7 linked regions of the Xenopus tropicalis genome follow. The protein of the gene in region 5 interacts with the protein of the main gene of each other region in a pairwise test. Links are inferred from orthologs where the notes say so. Each region holds a gene or a part of one and is shown on either strand. Other genes may lie near its edges.

Region 1 (3,500 bases), on a different chromosome or scaffold from region 5:
CATAAGACATTACTGCATCATGCCTAGTTATTAAAAAAAACAGTGACAGGTTCCCAGATTGTGGGGCAGCAATTTATAGTTGGTGTGAAGAAATGGGAGTTATGGGGGGCCGCAGAAAATAGAAAACTGGGGCAATCTAAAGCTCATAGAGAGTGAGCCCTCAGGTGACGGTTTTAAGTCCTCAATTTTGTTGGAAGCTAGGCCTGAACCCTCATTTAGGATGATATTTGGTGTGAGAGCATATTCTAATGTCAATCAGACTAATTCAAATCATTTGGAGTCCTAGAAAGAGCAACTATTGCATCAAAAGAGGCCAAAATGGTGCAAAAACTTGGGAAGGGATATCTGTAAAAGCAGATTTTTTTTCTTTTCGATTTAGCAAACTGGGTTAACACATGGAGTGATATGTTGTGCCTTCTATTGGGGAGTTATACAAGACCTTACATAAAGTCTACAACATTCTGTATTTCCGAAAAAACAACACTGTACCTGGTGGAATCTTGCAGACCGTGGCAGGATGCCAACCGTAGCGCTGGTTACAATTTGGGGACTGTACAAATATGGCATTGTCACTGAGGCACTCAGCAAACACTTCCCCTCCGATGTAATACAGCCGCACGCCTCTCCCTACAAACAAAAACATTCCCATGAGTACACAGGAAAACATGGCAGGAAGTGAGACATATGGTGCGGTTATGGATCACTCAGAGACAAAGCTATAATATGCCCTCCAGTAATGAGCTAATACACCCCAAACCCTCTTCTGACAGCTCTCTCTAAATAAAAGAAAACAAGAATGCAACAGTTCAAGGTCACAATGTCCTATACTTTATGCACTGTGTGTGTGAAATGGACACTGTCCAAAGTCATTGGTGGCACAAGCCTGAATGTAAAAAACACAATGAAAACTGCTGCCACTTGGCCAGTTAATACAGCAGATATTTTGAAAGCTATATTTAACTACATATATTTACATAGTGAGCAACTGTCATTTACTAAAAGGCATGTATAGGATATCTGGGAAGTGGGGATCTCGCCGCTGAGAGGACGCAAGCAGAGAACCTCCTGTGCATGCCGAATAGATTTTATATTGTGGGAGGTCCTCTGCTTTCACTCCAGAATGGAAAATTTTTGGTAACCGCTGACATAACTAGAAGAGAGAATTCTTCCAGTTGCTTTGGCTACAGACTTGATTTTCTTCTCCTGCAGAAAGTAAAGGGGAAGGCTTACAGCAGCATAAAGCTCAGGGTGGTGCTTATCCCACAAACAGCACCTAATAAAGGTGATCGGGCCCCCTGACTCCACGTCTGTGCACAAATACAAAGCTTACCAGTGGGGTGCAATAAGTAATGAAGACAACATGTACAGGTTTTTCCTCCAATTGTGGCATCATAGAAAAAAGGCTGAAGCCAAATGCAGTCAAAATGCAAAATTAGGTACCCACATTTTATTTATAATAAACTAGGTGCAATGTGATGGGAGAACAATATGTGCCTTTATGCATCTGCCTTAAACTTTAAACAGCCACTAAAATGTAATTCACCTAAGAAGGGCGAGGATTACACAGTCGGCACACAACATACTTTGGTTAGACTGAAAAATAACAAGAAAAATGAGCCAGGATGGGCAATCCAGATGCCATAAAATTACGACTTCTAGCATCCCTCTGCTGGAAGTGGGAGGCTGTTGAAGGGGAACTGGAAAATGTAACTGAACATCTGGAGGGCCGCAGGTTGCCCACACCTGTATTACATGATTTCTGTTACACACTAAAGGGGAAATGTAATACAAGACTTAAGTTGGCCCAGGTTCATTAACCCATAGCAACTAATCTGTATAAATGCTGGCCAGTAAAAGCTACCTGCTATCTGGTTGCTATGGATTACAATCTGTGTCGCTCAAAAGGGAATGAACTCTTAAGAGCAAGTACTACTCCTGAAACCTTATGTGAAGTTAACAGATACTGAAATCCACTGTTTCTCAATTTCTCAATGATGCATAAGCCAATGTAAACCTCTGATTTACCAATGTGTCTCCGTGTCATTTCCACAGCCGCATTCCGATTTACATTGGACAACAGTCCCAGGCAGAAACGTTCGGAGTTGGAAGGATCGGTGAATCCATCCACTGTCATGGAGGGTTGGGAAGCGTGGAAGGTCTCCCCCACACGTTGGTTAAGCTCATAGTAGGAGATGGAGCACCAAAAGGCCGGCTCGCAGTATGTAACAGGCTGCAGGTCTGCAAAGAGTCAACAGAGGGGAGATGATATACATTTCCTATATTTCACTACATTGACCACAGTGTGTGTGAGAGAATGTGATAGGGGATTTAGACTTTAAGCTCTCCCACTGGGGCAAAGTGCTGCACAATATGTGGGTGCTAAATAAATAAAGAATAATAATAATAATGTTTCAGAGTCAGTAGAAGGTGGCAGTTTAACATCAGGTAGATGCCAGTCTTTTTGCTATGCTACAATCAGAGCATGGAGCAGCGCCAGACATTTGGTTTAGCAATGCAACCCATGCTCACTTCAGTGACACAGCTATGACTCTCATTCTACGAGGTTTCCCTACACATCAAATCACTGCCGGAAGGTTACCCCTGTGTGGATTTGCTTTCCAGCAAATAAAAAAACACACACAGAGAAATTAAATCCTCAGTTAATTATTAAATGTTGCAGTTACCCCAATGGAAACGTGTGCATTTGTGCCAGACACGCAGTTTTGCAGAATGTTTCAGTTCAGAGGGCAATGAAAACCATCTGCAGAAAGCAGCCTGGTGTCTCTTCCTCACAAGGTTTCAGCAATGAGATACTAAAATAATGGGAAATACTAATGAACACATGGATTCGCTCCTCAGAAGTGATAGCTTTCTGCTAGGGGAGGAAGAGTGCTCCGAGTTAAACAATGACCCATCTCACTCCCTTAGGGCTGCAACCTCACTGATAAGGACAGGGCCCTTACATACTAAGGCCTGGCCCCCTGCCAATCCAAACTGCCTGATTTAAACCCTGCATCCGTCCAAGTTTCTCGGGATTGGGAGGAGAGCACTCAGGGGCATGTTTATATTCATATAAAGTGCTATCATAATATATTACTCTTACAGAACTGCTGACAATTCACTTTATTGGAGAGTATACATGTAAATAAAATACTCAATGCAGTTATAGGAGCACAAGCACAACCACCCTTTGCATTACATGGACCACTCTGTCCCCCTTAAATCAATAGAGCCTAAATGCCTCTAAATACAGAATTAGAACTCCCAACATTCTGCAACCACTTTATGTTTTTCCTATTCCATGCTGCTCTTTTACTAGGGCTGGAACAGTTTCATATGTGAAAGAGTATGAACAAATACCACATAAATGCACATATGCTAAAATCCAGCTGCAAATCAGTTCTTCGCTTTCTGCATCATTTAAATCCTTGCAGGGGAGGAGGGACTAAAATATTGATGTCACAAATTGTAGCAACTTCTTCACAGCTTACAAACAGCAT
Region 2 (3,500 bases), on a different chromosome or scaffold from region 5:
AGTTCAGTCTCCCATTTTGGCCCCACCCTGTTATTCCCAGGCCACACCCCTAGTTCCAAGCCAGCCCATTATATAAACTGGGGTAATTTGACAGCTGCTTTAAATGTATTTATATATTCAGTTTGTATGAATCTTAGGGAACCGGCGCTCGGGCCAATGGGGATGTCGCTGCCGGGCCCGACCCATTAGCTTTCCCTGCAATTTATCATAAGGTACATTATATATTCAGGCTCCTCTAGGGCCGGCGCTGGCGACAAGCACCATGGAGACGTTATGGCCTACATTCCCACAGATTATCTACTCCCCGCACCCTGACAGCCGACTCCGGGAAAGGGGAACGTTATCCGGGGAAATCACATGGTTATTTAAAGCTACGGGCAACCGTCCTCTCCTACCCCCCCATTATTCTTCTATTGTCAGCGAGTCGCAGTATGATCCATTTCTATGTTTCTAGTAAATCCAATCTCCCCCCAGTACTTACCCAGGTACAGAGCTCTGATTCTCTGTACTTCCTGCTCCTGGGCTGCTCTCTTTCCCATGGTCAGGCAGGAACCCCCCTGGGTAAGTGAATCCAATCTCCCCCCAGTACTTACCCAGGTACAGAGCTCTGATTCTCTGTACTTCCTGCTCCTGGGCTGCTCTCTTTCCCATGGTCAGGCAGGAACCTCCCCCCTCTGGGTAAGTGAATCCAATCTCCCCCCCAGTACTTACCCAGGTACAGAGCTCTGATTCTCTGTACTTCCTGCTCCTGGGCTGCTCTCTTTCCCATGGTCAGGCAGGAACCTCCCCCCTCTGGGTAAGTGAATCCAATCTCCCCCCAGTACTTACCCAGGTACAGAACTCTGATTCTCTGTACTTCCTGTTCCTGGGCTGCTCTCTTTCCCATGGTCAGGCAGGAACCTCCCCCTGGGTAAGTGAATCCAATCTCCCCCCAGTACTTACCCAGGTACAGAGCTCTGATTCTCTGTACTTCCTGCTCCTGGGCTGCTCTCTTTCCCATGGTCAGACAGGAACCTCCCCCTGGGTAAGTGAATCCAATCTCCCCCCAGTACTTACCCAGGTACAGAGCTCTGATTCTCTGTACTTCCTGCTCCTGGGCTGCTCTCTTTCCCATGGTCAGGCAGGAACCTCCCCCTGGGTAAGTGAATCTAATCTCCCCCCAGTACTTACCCAGGTACAGAGCTCTGATTCTCTGTACTTCCTGCTCCTGGGCTGCTCTCTTTCCCATGGTCAGGCAGGAACCCCCCTGGGTAAGTGAATCCAATCTCCCCCCAGTACTTACCCAGGTACAGAGCTCTGATTCTCTGTACTTCCTGCTCCTGGGCTGCTCTCTTTCCCATGGTCAGACAGGACACCCCCCCCCCCCTGGGTAAGTGAATCCAATCTCCTCCCAGTACTTACCCAGGTACAGAGCTGTGATTCTCTGTACTTCCTGCTCCTGGGCTGCTCTCTTTCCCATGGTCAGACAGGAACCTCCCCCTGGGTAAGTGAATCCAATCTCCCCCCAGTACTTACCCAGGTACAGAGCTCTGATTCTCTGTACTTCCTGCTCCTGGGCTGCTCTCTTTCCCATGGTCAGGCAGGAACCTCCACCTGGGTAAGTGAATCCAATCTCCCCCCAGTACTTACCCAGGTACAGAGCTCTGATTCTCTGTACTTCCTGCTCCTGGGCTGCTCTCTTTCCCATTGTCAGACAGGACCCCCCCCCCCCGGTAAGTGAATCCAATCTCCCCCCAGTACTTACCCAGGTACAGAGCTACAATTCTCTGTACTTCCTGCTCCTGGGCTGCTCTCTTTCCCATGGTCAGACAGGACCCTCCCCCGGGTAAGTGAATCCAATCTCCCCCCAGTACTTACCCAGGTACAGAGCTGTAATTCTCTGTACTTCCTGCTCCTGGGCTGCTCTCTTTCCCATGGTCAGGCTTAACTTTGGCTCCACCTCCTCCCTGACCATGGGAAAGAGAGCAGCCCAGGAGCAGGAAGTACAGAGAATCAGTTGCAGCCGGTTCTAGCTCAGTATATACCTGGCTCTCGGGGTCCGTCACAGTCAGGCTCAGGTTTGCCAGGTGCTTGTTCACAAAGTTTACGATTGCCTGAAATATAAGGAAATTTAGCAATGAAATAACACGCCCCACTGCTATGCATAGGAAATATTGATTGTAAGCTCTGCGGGACAGGGACCTCCTTCCCCTTGTTGCGCTTAACAATAAAGGTAAGGGTAAGTACCACGTCCCGCTGTTACTGCATTAATACCCAATTACCTTCTTCACATCCTCGACTTTTTCGGGACTCTGCTCAAACAGGTGATCAAACGCGTCGGGCTCTGCGGGAAAATAAAATAAGTTGCACCATTGGCTCCAAAAAGGGCCCTGTTAGTAATCACGGGGCTCTATTAACTAACCCATTGGCCACCGGGGCACCCTCCCCCAGGGCCCTGTTAGTAATCACGGGGCTGTATTAACTAACCCATTGGCCACCGGGGCACCCTCCCCCAGGGCCCTGTTAGTAATCACGGGGCTGTATTAACTAACCCATTGGCCACCGGGGCACCCTCCCCCAGGGCCCTGTTAGTAATCATGGGGCTCTATTAACTAACCCATTGGCCACCGGGGCACCCTCCCCCAGGGCCCTGTTAGTAATCACGGGGCTCTATTAACTAACCCATTGGCCACCGGGGCACCCTCCCCCAGGGCCCTGTTAGTAATCATGGGGCTCTATTAACTAACCCATTGGCCACCGGGGCACCCTCCCCCAGGGCCCTGTTAGTAATCATGGGGCTCTATTAACTAACCCATTGGCCACCGGGGCACCCTCCCCCAGGGCCCTGTTAGTAATCACGGGGCTCTATTAACTAACCCATTGGCCACCGGGGCACCCTCCCCCAGGGCCCTGTTAGTAATCATGGGGCTCTATTAACTAACCCATTGGCTACCGGGGCACCCTGGGCCATAGGCCCTGCCCCCAAGTAGATTGGAGCCCCAAAGAAACAGAATGCATGGTAATGTCCCTGACCCCCCTTGTGCTCCACTATCCGAAACCCCTCCCATGATCTGTCCAAACTCCTCCCACTTCCCCACAGTACCTGCCCATTTTGGATGGTTGTAATATCCCTACATTTAAGCCCCACCCACCTAACCTCGACCTGCCCCAATCCAACCTTTCTCATTTCCCCAATCTCCCCTCTCCATCCTGTCGTAACCCCTCCCCCTTTGATATCACCCACACTATTGTCATACCCCTGTTTACATCGTGCCCCGCCCCCTTTTGTCACTGCCCCCATTCAGCCAGTAAAAGCAGCCCTACAGCTTGGGGAACAATGGAGTGTGACTGTAGGCTGAAGCTGCAGGCTGAGATAGCCCCGCCTCCATAGAACAAAGTGATTCTACATCCACTCAGACAGATGTAAAGGGGAAATAAAACCCAGCAGCCCCTTAGCCATTCGCCGTCCCCGCTTCATTCCTGGTGGGTAATTGTGCATTTTATATGCAGTCGCACTGCTC
Region 3 (4,083 bases), on a different chromosome or scaffold from region 5:
CCAGCCACAACCCCCCCAACCCCAGCACCAGCCCCAGCCCCAGCCCCAGCGATGCGTCCTAGCGACGTCGCGTGCGCGCCGACGTCACATGCGCGCCGACGTCACGTGCGCACGGGCGCAACCCGGATGTAATTGGATAAAAACTGCAGGAGGCGCGCATACCGGTATAGCGGTATGTTCAAAAATCATATCGTTTTTTTTTCAAAAACCGGTATACCGGTTAAACCGGTATACCGCCCAGCACTACTTAGGTTTACAAAGCGGTCTGCAAATCTTTATCAGCAGTTTTCAAAATTTAAAGGAGAAGGAAAGGCTAGTAAAGAGTTAATCTCAAGCTGCAGGCATACCTTCAGTTGTCTCAATAATGCCCTTAAGTCTCCCCACATTTCTCCTGTTCAGATGATCAGAAGCCAAACAGGAAGAAAAAACCCTAAGCTGTGTAAAGAAAGTTCCCATAATGCCTCACTCCTGCACAGACACCGAGACCACTGAACATGCTCAGTTAGTAAGACTATGAGTCAGCTTCCTGCTGATTGGCTCAGATCCACATTCCTAAGGGGGGTTGTGAGTTCTTAACATTCTTGAGGGAGGGGGGAGAAGGAGAGAGCAGAGAGCTGAAAGCTGCGTGTCTCTGGCACAGGAATTACAGACACAACTAATCTTTTTTCAGAGAAGTCAGTGCAGTGTTTCTGTGAGTACTTATGGCTGTATTTACATAGACCTTTCTGATAAAGCTTACTTAGTTTTTACTTCTCCTTTAAGACTGTCCCCGTAGATAAAGAGCAGTGACTGGGGGGTGAACCTGAAGGCCAAGGTGGGATTTAGGGAAAATGCCTAAATCTTCTCCTAGATCAGTGCTGTGCAACATTTTCTTGGAAAAGTATGGCCACGACCATAATGTGACTAAATGACTAGCGTGTCCCTATAAGATGACGCCTGGGACAGCTAAACTAAGCTGTGTCCAACACAGCTGCTGTATGGTAAATGTCCTGTGTCTACAACAGAGATAGATTCAAGTTCTGGTGGCTCATAAAATAATAATAATAAAAACAGAGTAAGTAAATTTAGAGTTGTTAATGGCTAGATTTAATTATATGCGTCACCTGTAATTAGCACTGACCAGTTGATTATATGTGCTGATTATGAGAGACACAAGTAAATATAAATGTCGATTTACATTTTCGCCGGTGGGATGGCATTTCGGGGAGATTAGTCGCCCGAGACACAGGAGATTTGTTGCGGGCGACTAATCTCCCTGTGTGCCAGAGCCCTTAGAATCCGAACCAAACCACTGAAAAAAGCTACAGATGCAGAATGTGGCCTTCAGATGGACATATACATACACAAACCTGCATTCACAGATATATAGTGCCACATAATGTTTCCCCTACACACACCCCCAACCAAATGATCACGTGACCAGAAGCATGCACCCACAATACTGATCCTGACTCACATTAAATAAAGTGTGCTAACCAACGACGTTCAGCAGGCAGGAAACCCAGCCTGCAAATTACCAGTTTGTAAATTCCACTGATGTAGGTGCTTATTAATAGAAATAGTACTTTTGGCATGGCCACATTCATGTAATTCTTTAGGCTGCCACCTTACACGGTCAACGGTAAAAATGTCACAGAAAAAAGTCACTTTAACTTGTGATCTTCCTCCATTAGAGGTGTCTGTAGCACCTTCCCTAAACTCATCTACACAACTGTGCCCAAGGTCTCTCACACTTCCTCCTGTCTCTCACCTTATTTAAAGACGATGTTAGTGAAACCAAAGGCCTAAAACACATTTTTTTAACCCTACATTAATGTCTATACCAGATAATCTGGTGTTTAAGAATGCCGTTCGGTCACATGACATGGCTTAGTCCTCCCAAATCCCTTCTGGGTATTGGGGACTCAAAATAGGCAAATGGCTCAGCGGAAACAAGATTTTAAAGGAATCCAAATCACCTCACTTGACCTCTGGCCAATGCCATGGCACCTATTGCTCTATGGATGGTCCCACCATTAGAAATAGCCACACAGGAGAGCGCTGGGCAAGCGTATGTAAGAAATAGAATGGCAAAGTTAGTGAATAAAGAGGCCAAAGTGAGTGAGACAGAAAAGGTGGATTTGTATTACTTAGTCATATCAACCAACTACCCTCCTGTGTTTCTCAAAAAATGTCTATATCTTCTATTCCCCCTTTATGGCAGCTTTTAAGACCCTCAAATGAACATGGGGCCCCAATAAATACGCCCTTTATGCCCCAACTGGAGCTGGTCCCCTAATGGGGCGTAATCACTGGCATAACCAGACATCATTGGGCCCACAGGAAAATTGATATTGGGGACCCCCTAAAATTAAATAAGAATAAGCCCTTCACAAACATTCAGTGAAAGTGTTTATGAGCGGCCCACCCGGCCTCAGGAGTCGCACCCCCCCCCCCCCCCCCCCCTTCCTTAATAGTTCCACCCACGGCCCGTACTACCGCCCAATGAGCTGCCGGGGGGCTCCGGCTCCAGTCACACCTGGGGGACACTGAATGGGCACACCTGCCTGGGAAGCACAACAGCGATGGGGGGGGGGGGGAGAACAAAACTGAGTTGTATGGACCTAAGGGAGGATAATAACCACCCTCTGCCTTGCTGCTGGTGGGACAGCCCAAAATAATGTTTCTGTGAAGAGAAGCTGTAAGGGGGACACTTACCTGCCGGCAGGAGAATAACTCGAAGTGGAAGCCCTTCCCGTTAGTTGCTAACTAGTCCTCCCCACAGCTGCCTTCTCCCGACCCGTCTCTTCACAGCACTGACGTCACGGCACGGAGATGGCGCTGACGGAAGACAAAGGCAGTCGCACACTCGGGCAGAGCAGGGGAGAGCACAGGGAGGAGGGGTGGGCGGGGCTAAGGCGGGAGCAGGAAGGAGGGGTGGGCGGGGTTCAAGGCGGGTGACGTCATTTTCCGAAAAGTCGGCCCCGTGACTGTTGCCAAGGGTAACGGGAAGTTGAAGACTCCGGGGTGGGGTGTTGCTATTTTAATATTCCCATTTCCTCCATTCTTGTTTTCATGAGTTAAACACAGAGAACACAGTCATTTGTTAGGAGCTATCCCCTACCTAGCCGGGAAAAAGTGCGACCCCGCCCCCCCAAGATTGTAAAGGGAAATTTATTGTGCCGGGCCCGGCCCCTTTTTCTTCTGGGTTTTTATTGATATGTAATTTGTATGTTTTATACCATTCTGCTATACAGCACTGCAGAGTGTGTTGGCTCTTTGTAAATGTTTATAGTAAAGGGGGAATGAATGTCCATCACTAGGGTTGCAGGCTGGCTAGTAAAAAATATATAATTAATAGGGAAAACAAAAAAATATAGAAAAGCTGGTGTTTTCCCAGAAAAAGTGGGAGCCCTACCCCTCACACGCATTCTAATAATAACAGGACTGACACAGGGCTGATGTGCCTCCCACACTAACCAACATGCAGTGCAGCTTCTCTCTGTCCCAGCTCCTATACCTAGCCCCTATATACAAGCCTGGGGCCCATAACAAATTTACTGGCAACATACTTGTCTGTAAATTTATGATAACTATTCCATCCACCCCAGGCCTGCCTCCCATCAGCCCTTGCAGCTTCCAAAGAGACTAGCTCTACTTACAAAATGGCCTTCCAGTTCAGCCTGACTACCCTCTTGCGCCATAACCCTTTCCCTTTATGTCACATCCCACTCCTTTGTGCCCACCCTGCTCTCTCATAGCTCCGCTCCTGCCATTAAAATAACTCTTCAAAGGTGGCAAAGCTATCATGGATAAGGGTTGCTACCTTTTTCTGTGGCTAGTACTAGCATTTGGGTTGGTGGGCGGGAAGTGACATTTGAGGGTGTTGCAAGGGTCAGGGAAATGGGCAGACTGGGCAGGGGAAAGGTGCATGGAGCCAGTAAAGGTGGTCATACACATGCAGATTGTAGATGCCGATATCGGTCCCTTGGAAATCGGCCAGATATTGATCGGGCAGGTTAAAAAATTCAGTTGGATCAGGGACCGCATCGGCTCGTTGATGCGGTCTGCGAACGGATAGTGCCTAATACAGACGTTATAATT
Region 4 (4,225 bases), on a different chromosome or scaffold from region 5:
CTGGAATCGCTTACCTTGTACCCCGGGCTGGTGCCCCTGTTAGGAGAAAACCGCACCAGCCCGGGGCACCTGTAGCTATGCGCTTCCTCCTTCCGCGTTCCTTAAGCCTTAACTGTGAGTCAGGCGCATGCGCAGTAGAGTGAAAAAGCTGACTTCTCTGTTAAAGTTCAGCTTCTCACTCTACTGCGCATGCAAAGAAGGAAGGAAAAAGCGCTCGCTGCTACCCCAGGCTGGTGCTGTTCTCTCCGTACAGGGGCACCAGCCCGGGGTAAAAGGTAGGCGATTCAAGTCACTTGGGGGTGCCTGATATTTTGGCACCCCCAAGTGTCTTAGCTTTTCCTTCTCCTTTAAAGGAGAACTAAAGCTTAGCAAAGAATTAACCAAGACACGTTACACCAGATGTTTTGCGCTTCTGTACCACATCAATCTATGACAGATAATTATGATAAACAAAATTAATATTCAGTAGATAAAATGCAGCAAGAATCTTTCACAAATGCACATATCACCATTCCTTAGTGTTTAGAGGACAAAAAATAATAGCAAATAATTCTATGAAACGTATAATATTTTCCCATGAAGTACCATAATATTTTTCTCTTTTAAAAAATACAGGTATAGGATCCGTTATCCAGAATTCTCGGGACCAAGGGTATTCCGGATAAGGGGTCTTTCCGTAATTTGGATCTCCATAACTTAAGTCTACTAAAAAATCAATAAAATATTAATTAAACCCAATAGGATTGTTTTGTATCCAATAATGATTATTTATATCTTAGTTGGGATCAAGTACAAGGTACAGTTTTATTACTACAGAGAAAAAGGAAATCAGTTTTAAAATTCTGTATTATTTGATTAAAATGGAGTCTATGGGAGACGGGCTTTCCGGAATTTGGAGCTTTCTGGATAATGGGTTTCCGGATAAGGGATCCCATACCCGTATTTATTTCCTCTGACTCTGAATTCTTGCCCCTTCATACCTTTGGCTCAGGGTGTCCACCTGGAATATCAAGCAGCCCTGGTGCTTCTCCAACTCTGTTGCTTCTCCTCAGCAGCACAAATCGGCCATCACTGCACTGCAAAGCAGCTCCTACTCCCAGTGGCTGGGCTAGGTAAGCCTCTGGGTCTCCATGTTCCCTACCACCTCTCTCCTGCAATGCCTTTGCATTACCCGACCAATTGGTGCCCAAGAAGTCTCTGTACGAGGTAAGAGCAAGATGGAGAGTTAGCCCACCCTGCTCATCCACATCAGACTCGGCAGGCCTTATGTGATCTCCTATTTCTCCAAGCCTGTTCTCCCGGTTGGTCTTCTCTCTTCTTTGATTTAACTCTGCTTTCACAGAATGAAGCCTAAATTTAGCCCCATTGAAGACCCATGGCTGCTTGCTTTTTCGCTCCTCCCATTCCAGCAGAATTTGCTCCTCCAGAGGTGGGGGCAGACAGCGCCGTTGATAGTGAGGTGATAGTTGAGCTCGGACTCTGCGCTGGGGGAGCCCCTCAGGACAAGGGCTGCAGTAAAGGATGGAAATTTCTGGATCCATGGGGGCTGGAGAGTAAATGAAGAAGAGTGTTAGAAGATACATTTACATGTAATGTGCCTCTTATCTGATATTCTAAATAATCATGGGTTGGATTTGAACAAAATGATGACGGAAAACTAACAGATCTATGGACCCAGCCAGGCAGGGGACCAAAAAAATGTTTTAGAGGGCCAGTCACCTAGAACCCTGGGGCCTGTAAGTGGACTATGCAGAACATTAGGCCTTTTATAGCCACTAAATTTATCCAACTACAGTTGCCATCTTTTCTAGACAAAAGCATAATTTTTACTGGCCTATCTCCATTTTACACTGAGGATATAGGATTATGTATAACCCAATAATTCTATAAAACAGCCACTACTAACATATTGAAAACCATAAAATAAAATTATCATACAATGCTGGTTATTTAGATATATTGAGCTGAATTCCTGACAGTTCTCTTTTCACTGGATGCCCTCAAATAAACACCTGAATTATTCTTCCCTGTGTGGTTAAGTTGTGTGCCTAGCACATGTGCAATGTGACAAAGCATTGGGTTTGCCCAATCCCATATCAGTTGCACAGTAGATGTATTTGTTGACCAAATACTTTGTCTGTTGCCCCCCAGTGGTAAGAATTTAAATTTTTTTTAACAGATGAAGGTACACAGCAGGGACAAATGTCAAGGCCTTCGCCTAGCATAGAATATATTTATTTATTTATATGTATTATATGTATTTTTGTAATTTGCAGGCCCCTTTCAGCACGATTGTTCTGCATAGCTAGACACCTTATTCAGTTGAATTCCACCCCCCCCCCACACACACACACACACAAACGCATTATATAGAATTATTTCTATGCAGGCATTGCCTTCTGACATTCCTGTTATTGTGCCCAGATATACATGGTGTAGATACAGCACTAGTCCAATCTGATGTACTGTAGCCAAATCTCACACACACTGTATATTTGCATGAGGAAGTGCTGCATTTCCAGTTCATTCATGTATACACACATACAATTACCAAGTGCCATACCAGTGCCATCTCTCTGGAAATATTCATAGTACCAGTGCCATCTCTCTCTGAAAATATTTACAATACCGGTGCCATCTCTGTAAATATTCACAATACCAGTGCCATCTTACACACTAATTAAATTCCCCATGCATCTGTAAAATACATATCTTAGCCAAAGACCAAGCCATGCCAGCCTCATCTGCCAGCAGTAGCCAGAAATGCCCCAGTGCTAGTCCCACCTCACAGACACAGTACCTTCTCTTTCTCTTATCCGCATGGCTCTCTTTAACAGGTCTGCTTCTGCCTATTCTGATACACTACAGTCATTATATGGCCCTTGCCACACCCCCTTTTCACACATCAACAGGAGTTCAGGAGCGTCACTTCAGGATCCAGTGAAACCAGCCCCTCCCCGGCCCTGACTAATTGGTGCACAATGGGGGGGCGGCATTCTATTATTCCAATGAATTCACTCTCCATTTGTACTCTGTAAAGTATCACAAATCAAATAAAACAGTGTACCTTTCTGTCTGCCAGTCTTTCTATATCCATCTCTATGGAACAGTCTGTGTTGCTCCTATCTATATACTTCCATATTCATATTTTATATACAACAAAAGTATAGATGCATTCTTTGTAATCTCTCCAGCTAAACCTGGTGGTGGAGCTGAGAGGGGGACCCCTTTTCTCAGATTTGCAGTCACCCCTCGGCCACTCTCTGCCCAACACATGTACATTACATTAGCTGTACTGTGCAAGCACTACTCAGGCAGGAGATGAGGCGATTGTTGGTTATTTAGTGCAGAAACATTTACACAGCTATTTACAAAGATTACACATGATACACAACAGTCCCTGCCAAATGGAGCTTACAATATATGGTCTCTTTCACATTCACATGTACTAGGGTCAATTTAACCTGCCTGTACATAACGGGAAACCTGTTAACCAGGAATTCTGAATTACAGGGAGGCCACCCCCCATAGACTCCATGTTAATCAAACAATAACAAAATATCTCCTTTTCTCTGTAATAATAAAACAGTACTTGTACTTGATCCCATCTGAAATATAATTCATCCTTATTGGGGGCAAAATAATACTTTTGGGTTAATTAATGTTTAGTGATTTTTGTACACCTAAGGTATCGAGATCCAACTTAAGTAAAGACCCCTTATCCGGAAAATGCCAGGTTTTGAGCATTCTGGATTGAGAGATAAATGCAACACCCAGAGGGAACCCAGGGAGAACATAAACTCCTTGCAGATAGTACCCAGGCTAAAATTGAACTCCAGCACTGCAAGGGAAAATTGAGGAACTTTTTTTTTTTTTTTTTTACAGGGGTGCCTGGCGATTTCCCATTACACCACTGGTTGGCAGCATATCAGCCTGTGTATAGCACCAGATATCAATTGGTTACATCTGAAAATCTACTCTGATGAGGACCATATCGGAGCATAGATGGCAACCTTACCAAACAAGCAGATCTATCAGTGTGTGGCCAGCTTAGCTCTATTTCAACCCTTTGATAAATATGTGGCGTTCCCATTGGGACCATGTGCTGAGTCAGCAGATCTCAGAGGGAGCTGTAGTGACGCAAAGTCCCTGTCACACCGCATTAGTGCTGAAGTACAATGGGCAGTGAGCATTTGGCTCTGTGCTCCCCCTCCCCTTCCTTGGA
Region 5 (4,149 bases):
TGCAGTTGGACAGTACAGGTATTCAGCTATCTGGAAATCTGTTATCCAGAAAACTCCGAACAACGGTAAGGTCATCTCTCATAGGCCCCATTTCCATTTTCTCTGTAATAATAAAACAGTACCTTGTACTTGATCCTAACAAAGACATAATTAATCTTTATTGGAGGCAAAACAACACTGTTGGGTTTATTTAATGTTTAAATTTTGCTTTAGTGAACTTAAGCTATGGAGATCCAAGTTACAGAAAGATCCCTTATCCAGAAAGCTTCAAGTCCCAAGCATTCTGGGTAACAGGTTCCATACTTGTACAGACTTAGCTGCTTATACTAAAAGAATAAGGGTTCTTAAACACTGGCATTTTAGTGTAGGGACCCAAATATCAGTATATCATGTTTAAGGGCCAGGTTATATTAAATTTATGTCAAACAAGTTAGCTACAGGTCATCATGTATGTGTCCTAACAATACTATGCCATAAAAAACATAAAATGTAGTGTTTGGCTAATGTCGCATGGAGCCAGTCAGTCACCTGCAATAGATTTCTGCTACCATGGCTGACTACTGTGCCAAAATGCCTTTCCACTGGCAAGCCAAAGCGATGCGTATAACTTTCCACTGGCGACTCCTAACTCCTATTGTTGCAGGTGGAAAGGCATTTCGGAACAGCTAGTTGCCTGTGGTAGCAAAGATCTATAGTGGGCGACTAACTGCACCATTAGCCTTAAGGTGGCCGTACAGGGGCTGATTAAAGCTGATGACTTGGTTCCTCCCGACCTAGTCGGCAGCTTATTGGCATGTGTAAATTCTAGATAACAATCGGCAGGCTTGAAAACCTCATCAGACAAAAGGTGCATTGGCGTGGCCCTCAGTGTCAAAATGAAGCAATTTCCTACCTGTGATACTGTGCCTGCAGCAGTTGAAATTCATCCTTAATTCTATCACATGAATCTGAGGTTGTGAATTTGAGTTGCTGGGGCAAATGCGAAGAGCCCTAAGGAAAAAAAAATCATAATAGAAATTCCATGTGAAAACATTTGCAGCCTTAATGGAATCCACAGGACACTTGGCTAATTAGTGGTTAAATTAAAGGCATAGTATACCCCTTTAATGATCACCAGTCCATTGAGAAACCTCTGTATAATGAGCTACTCATTTCAGAGTCTAACAGGTTGCATCAAGGGGCAGGGAGGGGTTTATTTATACAAAGGGCTTCTCAGTGGACTAGTAATTTGTTTTGATTGTGTTCCCATGAGTCAGGAGGTAGAATAGGGTAAAAGAAGAGTTCTACAACAACTTTTGTCTTTGTTTGCCACCTCACCCCTTTACACCTAAATGGCTTATGCAATATGTATTATTATGTTAAGCTAAAAATACCTTTGGAAACATTAGCTGCCATATCAGTTAGATATCTGCTGGGCAGGTTTGAAAATATCATAAAATAAGGGCCACTTGGTTGTTTATACGCTCAGTTCCTAATCAACCAAGTATAGGCCCCTATAATGATCTGATCAGCGGCCATAAAGCCAAACAAACCTTGGTGGCCAAATCACAAGATAATTCACTTGTTTGCCGACTTCACCAAATGAGTGGATCTTTCAGTGTATGGAAGGCTTTAAGCACATAATACATGGCTGCAGCAAGCATAGTTATTACTAATAATTAGCTATTTCTGTTAAGTATATGTATCCCATTTCCAAGGGAGAAGGCAGCAACTAGAACACTGCTTGGTCATTATTTTGACAATTGGAGGCTCACTTTTCTGTGGTACAGTACATGATACATGAATATCTCAATTATGCACTGCCAATATGGTGAGGGCCACATTTGTCAGGCACCTCTGGTGATTACCTTGGACCCCAGGCTAATACTGCTCTTCACTAAAAAAAACACAGTGGCCAGGATACTATTTTAGGGTGCACCACCATCTTGCTTCCTTGCTGCTGCTCTGGGTCATGTGCAATACAGCAAAATATTTGGCTTGCAGCTTCAGTCCTGATTTTGCTCTATAGCATGTGCTCATTACCCAGGGCAGAAGTAAGAATTGCATGGACAGAAAGCAAGCTGGCAGCACTCCCTACAATAGTGCCCCAGGGCAGTGCAATTTTAAGCACAAAGGCAACTCCAATGGGGGGGATTGAGGCTAGTAATTATAATTATTGGGGAGGGGATGCCTACCATTGCCCCTTCCAGTAATTTCTTGTCCTTAACATGTATTTATAAAGAGGCAGCACATTGCACAGCAGTGTGTAATACTGGATATCACCTCGAAAATATAACAATGCTACCAGTGCTCTAGACGGCAAAGATGGATTCAACAGAATTCTGAAACTCTACTACAACACTAAGCCCTTTCGGCTCCTGCAACGGCAGGACTTCCTGCAACAAAAAAATCCTACCCCCATATTGCTTTTAGCGTCTCCAGCAGATGAACATGTTCTATACAAATATAACACACAATAATACAGTAGTACATTCAGTTCTACCCCTCGCCTTCTCACCGAGTGCCGGCTGCTGCTTTGAGGAAACATCATATCCCACCCGGCCCCGGTATGTACGGCGCTACGCACAGGCTCAGTATCCAAGGCCCGGCTTCCTGTGCGCTTTATCCAAGGGCTCAGTGCACTTTGGGAAGGCTTCGCTCTGCTTCTCAGCCGGCACTACTGCTTTGGGCCCAGATATGTGATCCGCAAACCCCAGATGATCTTCTGGCCGCTCTGTGTGCTGTCAACCAGGACCTCTACTGTCCCCTTGGCCTCGTCCCTTCTTGATCTCTAACCCGGTAATGCTCCCCCACCCCTGAGGCTACGGCCTGCCCTGCTTCACTACACGATCTCCTAGCTCTCTACCCACTCAGGAGCCTTTTGTTTAATGGCGTCTGTGCTTAAGCAGATATATGGCTCCCTCTACAGGTCACAGTTTCAATGATTCAATTTCCCATGTAAGGATCCCTTGTCCTTTTAGCTGATTTTAAAATTCCTGAAAAAATGAAAGCTTATCAGTTACATTCAATGAACCCTGCTATACAGACCTCAGTGGGAGCATCATTTCGCTAATTTTTAGAGGCTGCCTTATTTTAATCTCCCTTAAGAATATTTTTTGTCTCTGTATATATCTAAGGCTTTTACAACAATCATCTGAACTGAAGTAATTCAATTTTTACCAGTGGTGAAAGTAGATGTTACTAAGCCCTCAACATATTCATTAAAGGGGCACCCAAAATTTCTGGAGAAATTGTTTAGTAATTATGGCCCCACTGGGCCCTCAACATTTCTGGCCTGCTACAAACTCCTGGCTGCACAGATTTTGCTTCCAGACACTCACACATGATGTTCAGTTCTTGGTAATTATGGGGTGCAAAAGATAAGACACTGATGGCCTCGTTTACTAAGGGCCTACAGCACCATGTTGTTCAACCTTCACACCAATGCACTGAGCATTTGCATCTGATCAGTTTATGTTTAGATGAACACGGTTTCCCAATGGCACACTGGTGTAACAATGCAAAATGCTGACAAAAACATGGAGCCTTGCAGAATGACATCTAAGGCTAATGTCCCATGGAGCAAGTTAGTCGCCCGCGATAGATCTCGCTACCGCGGACGACTAAGTGCTCCAAAATGCCTTTCCACTGGCAACTATAGGAGTCGCTGGTGGAAAGGCCTACGCATCGCTTTGGCTTTCCCAATTCGCACAAAGTTTCCTCCTGCAGGCAACTTTGGAAAGCCGAAGCAATGCATAGGCCTTTCCATCGACTCCGATTGTTGCCACTGGAAAGGCATTTCAGAGTGATTAGTTGCCCGCAGTAGCAGAGATCTACAGCGGACAACTAACTTGCTCTTTGGGCCATCAGCCTTAAATGAACCAAATTATTTAACTAAAACAACTGTCTCACTGTAAATGTGATTTTGGGCCACAGTAAAAATCTCAACTTAATCAAGAAAAGTTTAAAGTAATAGGACAGCAAACAATACAGTACTAAATTCCTCTCTGCACCTCAGACTTATTTAGGCATTATTACAATATAGTTCTATATTGGACCATCATTTAGTCAAGAGGAAAAGGCTCAGGTTTTTTGAGAGATGAGAATCAACCAAACTCTAGCTTCCTGAAGCACTCAATTTAATGGTTGCACACAAAAAGTTGAGATTGT
Region 6 (3,500 bases), on a different chromosome or scaffold from region 5:
TGCTCTTGTCCAGGTCCTAAGGCAGCAAACTATACTTATTTTACTTTACAGAGGTGGTAAGATCATCTAGAATATGCTGTGCAGTTTTGGTCTCCAGTACTTAAACTGGATATTACTGAATTAGAGAGGGTCCAAAAAAGGGCAACTAAGATGGTTAAAGTAAAACTACACCTCCAGAATGAATACTTAACCAACAGATAGTTTATATCATATTAGGTTCCCTATTAAAGAATCTTACCAAAGTGGAATATAAATAACAGTAAATATTACCCTTTTACAGGTTTTCCCTTGAACCCCCACTTTGTGATGGCCTGTGTGCTCCATCAGAGATCAGATCACATGACAGGAAGTAATGCAGCTCTAACAGGAAGAAGTAATGACAGAACTTTGCCTATTAATTGGCTCATATGACCTAACATGTGTGCCCTTGGTTTGTTTGTGTTCGTAAATCATATGATCCCAGTGGGCGGCCATTAAATGGCAATTTTCTATTAAAGATTACTCAATGACACATACTACTTAAAAAAAACGTATATTTTTATGAAAATTTTTTGAAAATGAAGCAGGGTTATAGAGACCTACATTGTTTGGGGTACAGTTTTCTTAAAGGGTATGGAAGGTCTCTACACTAGAGAAAAGGGAGCTAAAGGGGGGATATGATAAGCATGTATAAAAAATATATAGATATACTAATCTCTAATGCTTTATAAAACAGTGGGTTCTCCCAGCGGAAACAATGGCATCCATTCAGATTAGAAGAAAGGAGGTTTAATCTAAATATTCAAAGGGACAAAGGGAGTAGGAGAGCATAGTAGGAATAACATTTGAGAGACGTTGAGGAAGGCCTAAATGACCTGACTCTAACCTAACGGCACAGTTTGGGCCTACAAGAAAAGGATTTTACGTTAAGTCCAAAATCTCCTTTTCTGTCAGGGCACGTACTAAAGCGGTCCCCTATAGTGTGGGTATTTAGTCCTGGTGGGAAACTGCCACCTGCAGCACCTTATGTCCGTAGGAGGCCTGTGCTCAGGTGGCTACCTGCAAACAGTAAAATTTCAGCCTTATCTGATAAAGCTTACTTAGTTTTTACCTTTTTTTCTCCTTTAAGGACTGGATGAAGCAAGCCCTCCTTTTTGACTAAAAATAAGGCTGAGTAGAATCCCTTGAATCTTTGCTGCAGATGAACCTCTATTATCACTCTGTTTTGTAGTCGCAAATGGCATTCTTGAAAGACTTTGTTTTCGGTGGATTGCTGAAGGTATGAACCTGTACCGAGGAGGTTTGTCTGTGAATGGGTTTCTGTTACCTTCCTGAATTATCGTTAGGACCCTGGGGTCTATAATGTGGTTTGCCATATATCTAAAAATGCACTACCCTGGTGTCATGCTGAAGAAGACTCCACTGTTTCTTGACTGTTGTGACCAGGAATTTTGTCCCTTTCCCTTAGGTCTGTTGGAGGTTTGGTTGTTCTAAATGTCTTTAATGGATAAAAGGAGTGACCTTGTGATGAGCCTCCTCTAGAGCTCTTGGGTGTGATGTAAGTCAAGTCTCAATTTGAAAGAAATGTGCTTTTTCCGCCCGAGACCTCTGAAGTTATTTGCTTAAGGAAAGGGCCAAATAACTACTCTCCTGGAAATTTGAGTCCCAGGAGTCTAGATTTGGGAGCAGTGTCGCCACAGTGCTCTCCTGGCTATCACTATATTGTATGCAGATTGAGCTGCAAATTTAACTCTATCCATGCCAGCCTCAGCTATGAAGTACAACGGTGTACTGATCTTCTGCAATTCTGCCACCATATCCTGATCGGAGACTGGGGGATTTCCAAGCAGTTCCTTGCACCAGAAACTAGCGGTTCAATGGATGCTGTAGCTTGAGAATGTGTGGACGAATGCTTAAGTAGTGTTGTCTCTATTTGTCTGTCCATCAGGTACTTGAAGACGTTGTCATTCTGCTTGTAGGGTGGTATGTTCGGAGAGAGACTATGGAGTCAACTTTTGGTGCCTTGTCCCAGAATTTAACAATTTTTATCAGGAACAGGATACGTGCAGCAGAATCTTTTCATCAGAGTTATCCTGCGGTCTGGTTGTGTCCACTCTGTGTCTATGATCTGTTGGACCACTTTAGATATGGGGAAGGTTCTGGATCTCTTAGGTTGTACTCCCAAAACGTTGCCGGCTTGCTGCTACTGTCCGTCACTCTGTATCTTGTGCAATAATTCTAATGTTTTGAAGGTGTACTCTTACGTGAAGGTTTAGTGGATTGAGCAATAGTAGTTTGTATAATGGATTCTCAGGGGATTCTCAGGGGATGACCGATTTAATCTGACCAGAGTTAAACTGCATTTTCATGTTTTGGACAAAATGAAGACCCCCCCCCCCCCTTTGATCCAAAACCACACTGGGCTATGTCAATTCAAAACATTATTAGTAAATGCCTTACTGAGCGTGCAGACATTATTTCCCCTAAATTTACGCTACTGCTTGATGTAGTTATTGTCTGTCAACAGTCACCTAAAAATGCAGTCAATGGTATAATCTGTGGGGCACAGGTGCACGGGGTATGCAAATTACTGTTTACCGTAGATTATGTTTAGCACTAAAAAACACTATTTTATCCACATATACCATTTACATATCACATGGGGTATAGGCGTTTTTTTAAAAGTCAGGTTAATGCTTTTAATCACATTAGAGACATACCTTGACCAGTCTGACACCTTCGCCCACTTTCGAAGGAAAAGAGGTTAGAGTCATAGCCATAACGCCGTAAACAGAGGTATGGCCATCTCACAGCATCACGCTTTCGGGTGTGAAGGACCAGTTCAGTTTGTGTTAGTTCCATGACCCCTGAGCCCAACTCTGTTCCCTCATCATCCACGTTGGTGACCTGTCAAGACAGAATTACTCATAGTTACATAAAACATAATAATATAATGGGTGAGGCTGTAAAAATGCACATTATATCAACATAAAACTTTTTGTTCAAATAAGACCAGCTTAACTGTTGATGCAGAAAGGTTAAAAAAAAAAAAAAAAACCACAAACACATCACTTATGCGCCAGTATAGTAGAGAAAATTTCAGACTTCACGGTTCATACATTAAATCACTCTTTTCACATATAAAACCTCCTTTTTTCTAATTTCAATGGATGCCTGCCTGCTGGAAGAATCTAAATTTTGTAATATATATTAGAAAGTTGCTTAGAATCAAAGACACAGAGTGGTAATTTTTTTCTCCCCAAGTTTTTTTTTTTTTATTATGCAACATTATATATGTGTCTACAAGCTCTTTCACTAGTATCTTAGCTGGTATACTTACCTTAAATTTTGTGGGATGATCGTCTGGGAGACCATCTCGACAACTGCAGCAGCTTCCCATGATGTCAGCATATCAGGTGACCTCTTAAGGAAAAAAATTAATTGAAATCCAGTATGGAAGACAACAGACCTCAGACCCAATAAACCTCTGAAACCGATTACACTACAATTTGTCAAATACA
Region 7 (4,109 bases), on a different chromosome or scaffold from region 5:
AAATAAAAAAAAGTTACTCAAAACTATGGCAGCATAGGGATTCCCCTGTACTAAGCACAATTCAGCAGGAACAGCCCCCTAAGTTTGCTCATAGCCTGTACAGAGAGATACCATAAAACTATGGCACATAGGGATTCCCCTGTACTAAGCACAATTCAGCAGGAACAGCCCCCTAAGTTTGCTCATAGCCTGTACAGAGAGATACCATAAAACTATGGCACATAGGGATTCTCCTGTACTAAGCACAATTCAGCAGGAACAGCCCCCTAAGTTTGCTCATAGCCTGTACAGAGAGATACCATAAAACTATGGCAGCATAGGGATTCCCCTGTACTAAGCACAATTCAGCAGGAACAGCCCCCTAAGTTTGCTCATAGCCTGTACAGAGAGATACCATAAAACTATGGCACATAGGGATTCCCCTGTACTAAGCACAATTCAGCAGGAACAGCCCATTAAGTTTGCTCATAGCCTGTACAGAGAGATACCATAAAACTATGGCACATAGGGATTCCCCTGTACTAAGCACAATTCAGCAGGAACAGCCCCCTAAGTTTGCTCATAGCCTGTACAGAGAGATACCATAAAACTATGGCACATAGGGATTCCCCTGTACTAAGCACAATTCAGCAGGAACAGCCCCCTAAGTTTGCTCATAGCCTGTACAGAGAGATACCATAAAACTATGGCACATAGGGATTCCCCTGTACTAAGCGCAATTCAGCAGGAACAACCCCCTAAGTTTGCTCATAGCCTGTACAGAGAGATACCATAAAACTATGGCACATAGGGATTCCCCTGTACTAAGCACAATTCAGCAGGAACAGCCCCCTAATAGCCAATAGCCTGGAGAAAGAGAAATCTGCCCACCTGTTCTCCTGCATCTTCTGCCTGTACAAAATCAAAATGGCGCCTCTTCTGGATCTCATTGTTATGCTCCAGCTTCTTGCCGTAATACCGCTGCTGACCTGTAGGAGAGTTGAGAGGGAGTCAGCGGCCCATTGCACAAATATGTATTATAGACATGTGACCAGTCATTAAAGGGGATGTTCACCTTTGAGTTAACTTTTAGTATGATATAGAGAATATTCTAAGACAATCTGCAATTGGTCTTCATTTTTTATTATTTGCAGTTTTCCGCAGCTATGTGGTTGCTAGGGTTCAAACTACCTTAGCAACCAGGCAGCAGAATGAATGAGAAACTGGTATATGAACAGAAGAGGGCCTGTATAGAAAGATAATGGGGGAGGAGACAGAATAAAACCTGGTATTGGGGCAGAGACCAGTAGCTACAGGCTCCACATTAAAATGGCATACAGGAAATGAAGTCATAACAGGAAGTTAAGTCACAAAGTCAGACAGGAAGTTATAAATACAAAAATAAATAATTAATAAATCAACAGGGGAACATCCCTAGGCAAGTCTTCGGATCCGCAAATGCCAGACAGGACGTTATGTCAGAAATCTGGAGAGGAAATGAAGTCATAAGACAGGAAATGGATCTCTTTTCTAGTCAGTAACTTACCGGCTAAGTGCTTCTTCCCGCTTCTGTGCACAGACAACATATCGATGGTACTGAAGACGGGCCGGTGATGGCACACGGTGCAAGCGTAGCTGTTATATACACAACACAGTTACACAGAGGGATAGGCAGGGGCCCCGGAATATAAGGGTATATAGAAGCAAGCCCTCCCAGGGGCCCACACCGAGGGAACCAATCAGTGGAGAGACCCTTACCTGCCATTTTTAAGAAGCAAAGCCTCATCCTCCGGGATGTAACTGGCCAGCAGATCCGCCACTCGCCTCTTCTGTAGGGAGACAGGAAATGGGATATTAAATTAACCCTTCCCCCTTACAACTGCACCCTACTCTGCCACAGGCACCCTACCCACACCCCAAACCAAAACCACAGACACCTTACCCTTCCCCACCCACAGGCACCCTACTCTTCCTTACCCCCACCCACAGGCACCCTACTCTTCCTTACCCCCACCCACAGGCACCCTACTCTTCCTTACCCCCACCCACACGCACCCTACCCTTCCCTACCCCCACGCGCCCTACCCTTCCCTACCCCCACCCCCAGGCACCCTACCCTTCCCTACCCCCACCCCCAGGCACCCTACCCTTCCCTACCCCCACCCCCAGGCACCCTACTCTTCCTTACCCCCACCCACAGGCACCCTACTCTTCCTTACCCCCACCCACAGGCACCCTACTCTTCCTTACCCCCACGCGCCCTACCCTTCCCTACCCCCACGCGCCCTACCCTTCCCTACCCCCACGCGCCCTACCCTTCCCTACCCCCACCCCCAGGCACCCTACCCTTCCTTACCCCCACCCCCAGGCACCCTACTCTTCCTTACCCCCACCCACAGGCACCCTACCCTTCCCTACCCCCACGCGCCCTACCCTTCCCTACCCCCACCCCCAGGCACCCTACTCTTCCTTACCCCCACCCCCAGGCACCCTACTCTTCCTTACCCCCACCCACAGGCACCCTACCCCACCCACCCACAGACACCCTACCCTTCCCCCCACCCCCAGGCACCCTACCTTTCCCTACCCCACCCTTCCCCCCACCTCTAGACACCATACCCTACCCTTCCCCCCCCAGACACCCTCCCCTCCCCTGTATGGGTATCACCCCGTACCTTTAGAACGTTCAGCTGGCTCAGATCATCCCCATCCCGTTTAAACGACATAGCCCAGCCTGTAGCGCCCCCTTTGAGAGCTGTAACCCTGCGCGGCCACCGTACTCCTTTCTGCGGCCTTACGGGAAATGTAGTTTATTTCCGGAGAGGAGGAGGCGGAGTCCGGGCATTATGGGACTTGTAGTTCCGTGAGAGCCGCGAATCCTGGGGCAGAGCCTGTGCTGCACTACTGCTCCCGGCATGCCTTGCTCCTGTCACCCCTGCCCAGCAGTGAGCTGTGTATTATTGGGTACTTGCCTGTGCTGGGCAGCTGGAAGGGCTGTGGGTCTGTGCTGGGGGTATTGGGGCAGCTTTTAGCCCAGCCCAACCCCCTTGGGCAAACCCCTGTCAGTGCTGTCATGTGATACTAATGAATTCTCCCTTTTTCTTTCAGTCTGATTGAATTAGTAGCCCAGCATGTGACTGAGGGCTGCAGGGACTCCATCTCTGCCTCCACTTCTGCCTCCACCTCTGCCCAGTCAGACAATGTATAGTTAACTTGCCCTTTAGAGCTCACAAGCCATGGCATCCAACTCTGGGCACAGAGACTCTGGGCTTCTCCATGGAACCAGGACCCGTTCCTATGGCAGCCTAGTCCAGTCGCCCTATTCACCGGCCCGGATCCGCAAACTGGAGCACCAGGTCCAGCCCGGGGACACACTGCAGGGCTTGGCACTCAGATACGGCGTCACGGTGAGTACGGTACCTTCCTATTATAGGGTGTAGGGTGCTGGGAGTTGCAGTTTAGCAACAGCTGGAGACCCCTTGTGTATAACTGGTAATATCTAACAGCTGTTAGTCTCATATGCCCTTTGTACAGTTCTCTACTCCCCCCCCCAGGGGACATGCCTTACCTGCCCCACCCTAGAACCAACCCCCCAGGATGTTATCAGGAAGGCATTGGGTTCAGATACAGCCGGTGGGCCTGATAAACATGAAGGGAAATGAAAATATGGTGAATTTGGTGCACGACACTGTCAGGGCACATTCAGTCCTTATACAAAGTCTCCATTCTCTGGGTATCCGGGATCAGGCTGCATCCTGGTTCTCTTCCTATCTCTCTAACCGCTCCTTCTCTGTCGCTCTTACTAACCAATCCCCTACCCCGGTTCTGCTTAGTGTGGGGGCTCAGCTCAGTGTGGGGGTTCAGCTCAGTGTGGGGCCCTTTGCTTGGCCCTTTGCTGTTCTCCCTGTACACTCTCTCTTTAGGAGACCTTATTTCTTCTTTTGGTCTTAAATATCACTTCTCCTCCTTTCACCATGACTATTGATGGCATGACCGTTAACCCTGTTAATTCTGCACGCTGCCTTGGGGTTATCTGCCATTTTTCCTCTGCAATATTGCCAAGATACGCCCCTTTCTTTCACAAGTAACAGCTAAAACACTAATCCATGCCCTTATCCTTTCTCGCTTAG

What was found.
Region 1: the proteins of tle5 (region 5) and smad3 interact in binary tests that used the Homo sapiens proteins (3 or more experiments, as listed by UniProt). The two-hybrid records come from large-scale screens. The link is inferred for Xenopus tropicalis from reciprocal best matches to the Homo sapiens genes TLE5 and SMAD3.
Region 2: the proteins of tle5 (region 5) and parvg interact in binary tests that used the Homo sapiens proteins (3 or more experiments, as listed by UniProt). The two-hybrid records come from large-scale screens. The link is inferred for Xenopus tropicalis from reciprocal best matches to the Homo sapiens genes TLE5 and PARVG.
Region 3: the proteins of tle5 (region 5) and sdcbp interact in binary tests that used the Homo sapiens proteins (3 or more experiments, as listed by UniProt). The two-hybrid records come from large-scale screens. The link is inferred for Xenopus tropicalis from reciprocal best matches to the Homo sapiens genes TLE5 and SDCBP.
Region 4: the proteins of tle5 (region 5) and nudt22 interact in binary tests that used the Homo sapiens proteins (3 or more experiments, as listed by UniProt). The two-hybrid records come from large-scale screens. The link is inferred for Xenopus tropicalis from reciprocal best matches to the Homo sapiens genes TLE5 and NUDT22.
Region 6: the proteins of tle5 (region 5) and frs3 interact in binary tests that used the Homo sapiens proteins (3 or more experiments, as listed by UniProt). The two-hybrid records come from large-scale screens. The link is inferred for Xenopus tropicalis from reciprocal best matches to the Homo sapiens genes TLE5 and FRS3.
Region 7: the proteins of tle5 (region 5) and scnm1 interact in binary tests that used the Homo sapiens proteins (3 or more experiments, as listed by UniProt). The two-hybrid records come from large-scale screens. The link is inferred for Xenopus tropicalis from reciprocal best matches to the Homo sapiens genes TLE5 and SCNM1.

The regions. Positions count from the first base shown.
Region 1 is NC_030679.2:117,414,539-117,418,038, reverse strand, and holds part of smad3 (mothers against decapentaplegic homolog 3), read right to left. Parts: intron 2,239-3,500; coding exon 2,026-2,238; intron 628-2,025; coding exon 490-627; intron 1-489. UniProt on the Homo sapiens protein: Receptor-regulated SMAD (R-SMAD) that is an intracellular signal transducer and transcriptional modulator activated by TGF-beta (transforming growth factor) and activin type 1 receptor kinases.
Region 2 is NC_030679.2:4,331,979-4,335,478, forward strand, and holds part of parvg (gamma-parvin), read right to left. Parts: intron 2,324-3,500; coding exon 2,262-2,323; intron 2,094-2,261; coding exon 2,025-2,093; intron 1-2,024. UniProt on the Homo sapiens protein: Plays a role with ILK in promoting the cell adhesion and spreading of leukocytes.
Region 3 is NC_030682.2:116,370,505-116,374,587, reverse strand, and holds the start of sdcbp (syntenin-1), read right to left. Parts: upstream 2,801-4,083; 5' UTR 2,698-2,800; intron 1-2,697. UniProt on the Homo sapiens protein: Multifunctional adapter protein involved in diverse array of functions including trafficking of transmembrane proteins, neuro and immunomodulation, exosome biogenesis, and tumorigenesis.
Region 4 is NC_030680.2:35,524,990-35,529,214, forward strand, and holds the start of nudt22 (nucleoside diphosphate-linked moiety X motif 22), read right to left. Parts: upstream 2,801-4,225; 5' UTR 2,785-2,800; intron 1,547-2,784; coding exon of another isoform or gene 1,542-1,546; coding exon 981-1,541; intron 1-980. UniProt on the Homo sapiens protein: Hydrolyzes UDP-glucose to glucose 1-phosphate and UMP and UDP-galactose to galactose 1-phosphate and UMP. Preferred substrate is UDP-glucose.
Region 5 is NC_030677.2:114,622,611-114,626,759, forward strand, and holds the start of tle5 (amino-terminal enhancer of split), read right to left. Parts: upstream 2,801-4,149; 5' UTR 2,531-2,800; coding exon 2,498-2,530; intron 991-2,497; coding exon 893-990; intron 1-892. UniProt on the Homo sapiens protein: Transcriptional corepressor. Acts as a dominant repressor towards other family members. Inhibits NF-kappa-B-regulated gene expression. May be required for the initiation and maintenance of the differentiated state.
Region 6 is NC_030678.2:70,891,270-70,894,769, reverse strand, and holds part of frs3 (fibroblast growth factor receptor substrate 3), read right to left. Parts: intron 3,403-3,500; 5' UTR 3,380-3,402; coding exon 3,320-3,379; intron 2,887-3,319; coding exon 2,700-2,886; intron 1-2,699. UniProt on the Homo sapiens protein: Adapter protein that links FGF and NGF receptors to downstream signaling pathways. Involved in the activation of MAP kinases. Down-regulates ERK2 signaling by interfering with the phosphorylation and nuclear translocation of ERK2.
Region 7 is NC_030684.2:137,909,132-137,913,240, reverse strand, and holds the start of scnm1 (sodium channel modifier 1), read right to left. Parts: upstream 2,801-4,109; 5' UTR 2,706-2,800; coding exon 2,655-2,705; intron 1,809-2,654; coding exon 1,738-1,808; intron 1,615-1,737; coding exon 1,526-1,614; intron 969-1,525; coding exon 871-968; intron 1-870. Other genes in the region: lysmd1 (lysM and putative peptidoglycan-binding domain-containing protein 1), read left to right, coding at 3,216-3,386. UniProt on the Homo sapiens protein: As a component of the minor spliceosome, involved in the splicing of U12-type introns in pre-mRNAs. Plays a role in the regulation of primary cilia length and Hedgehog signaling.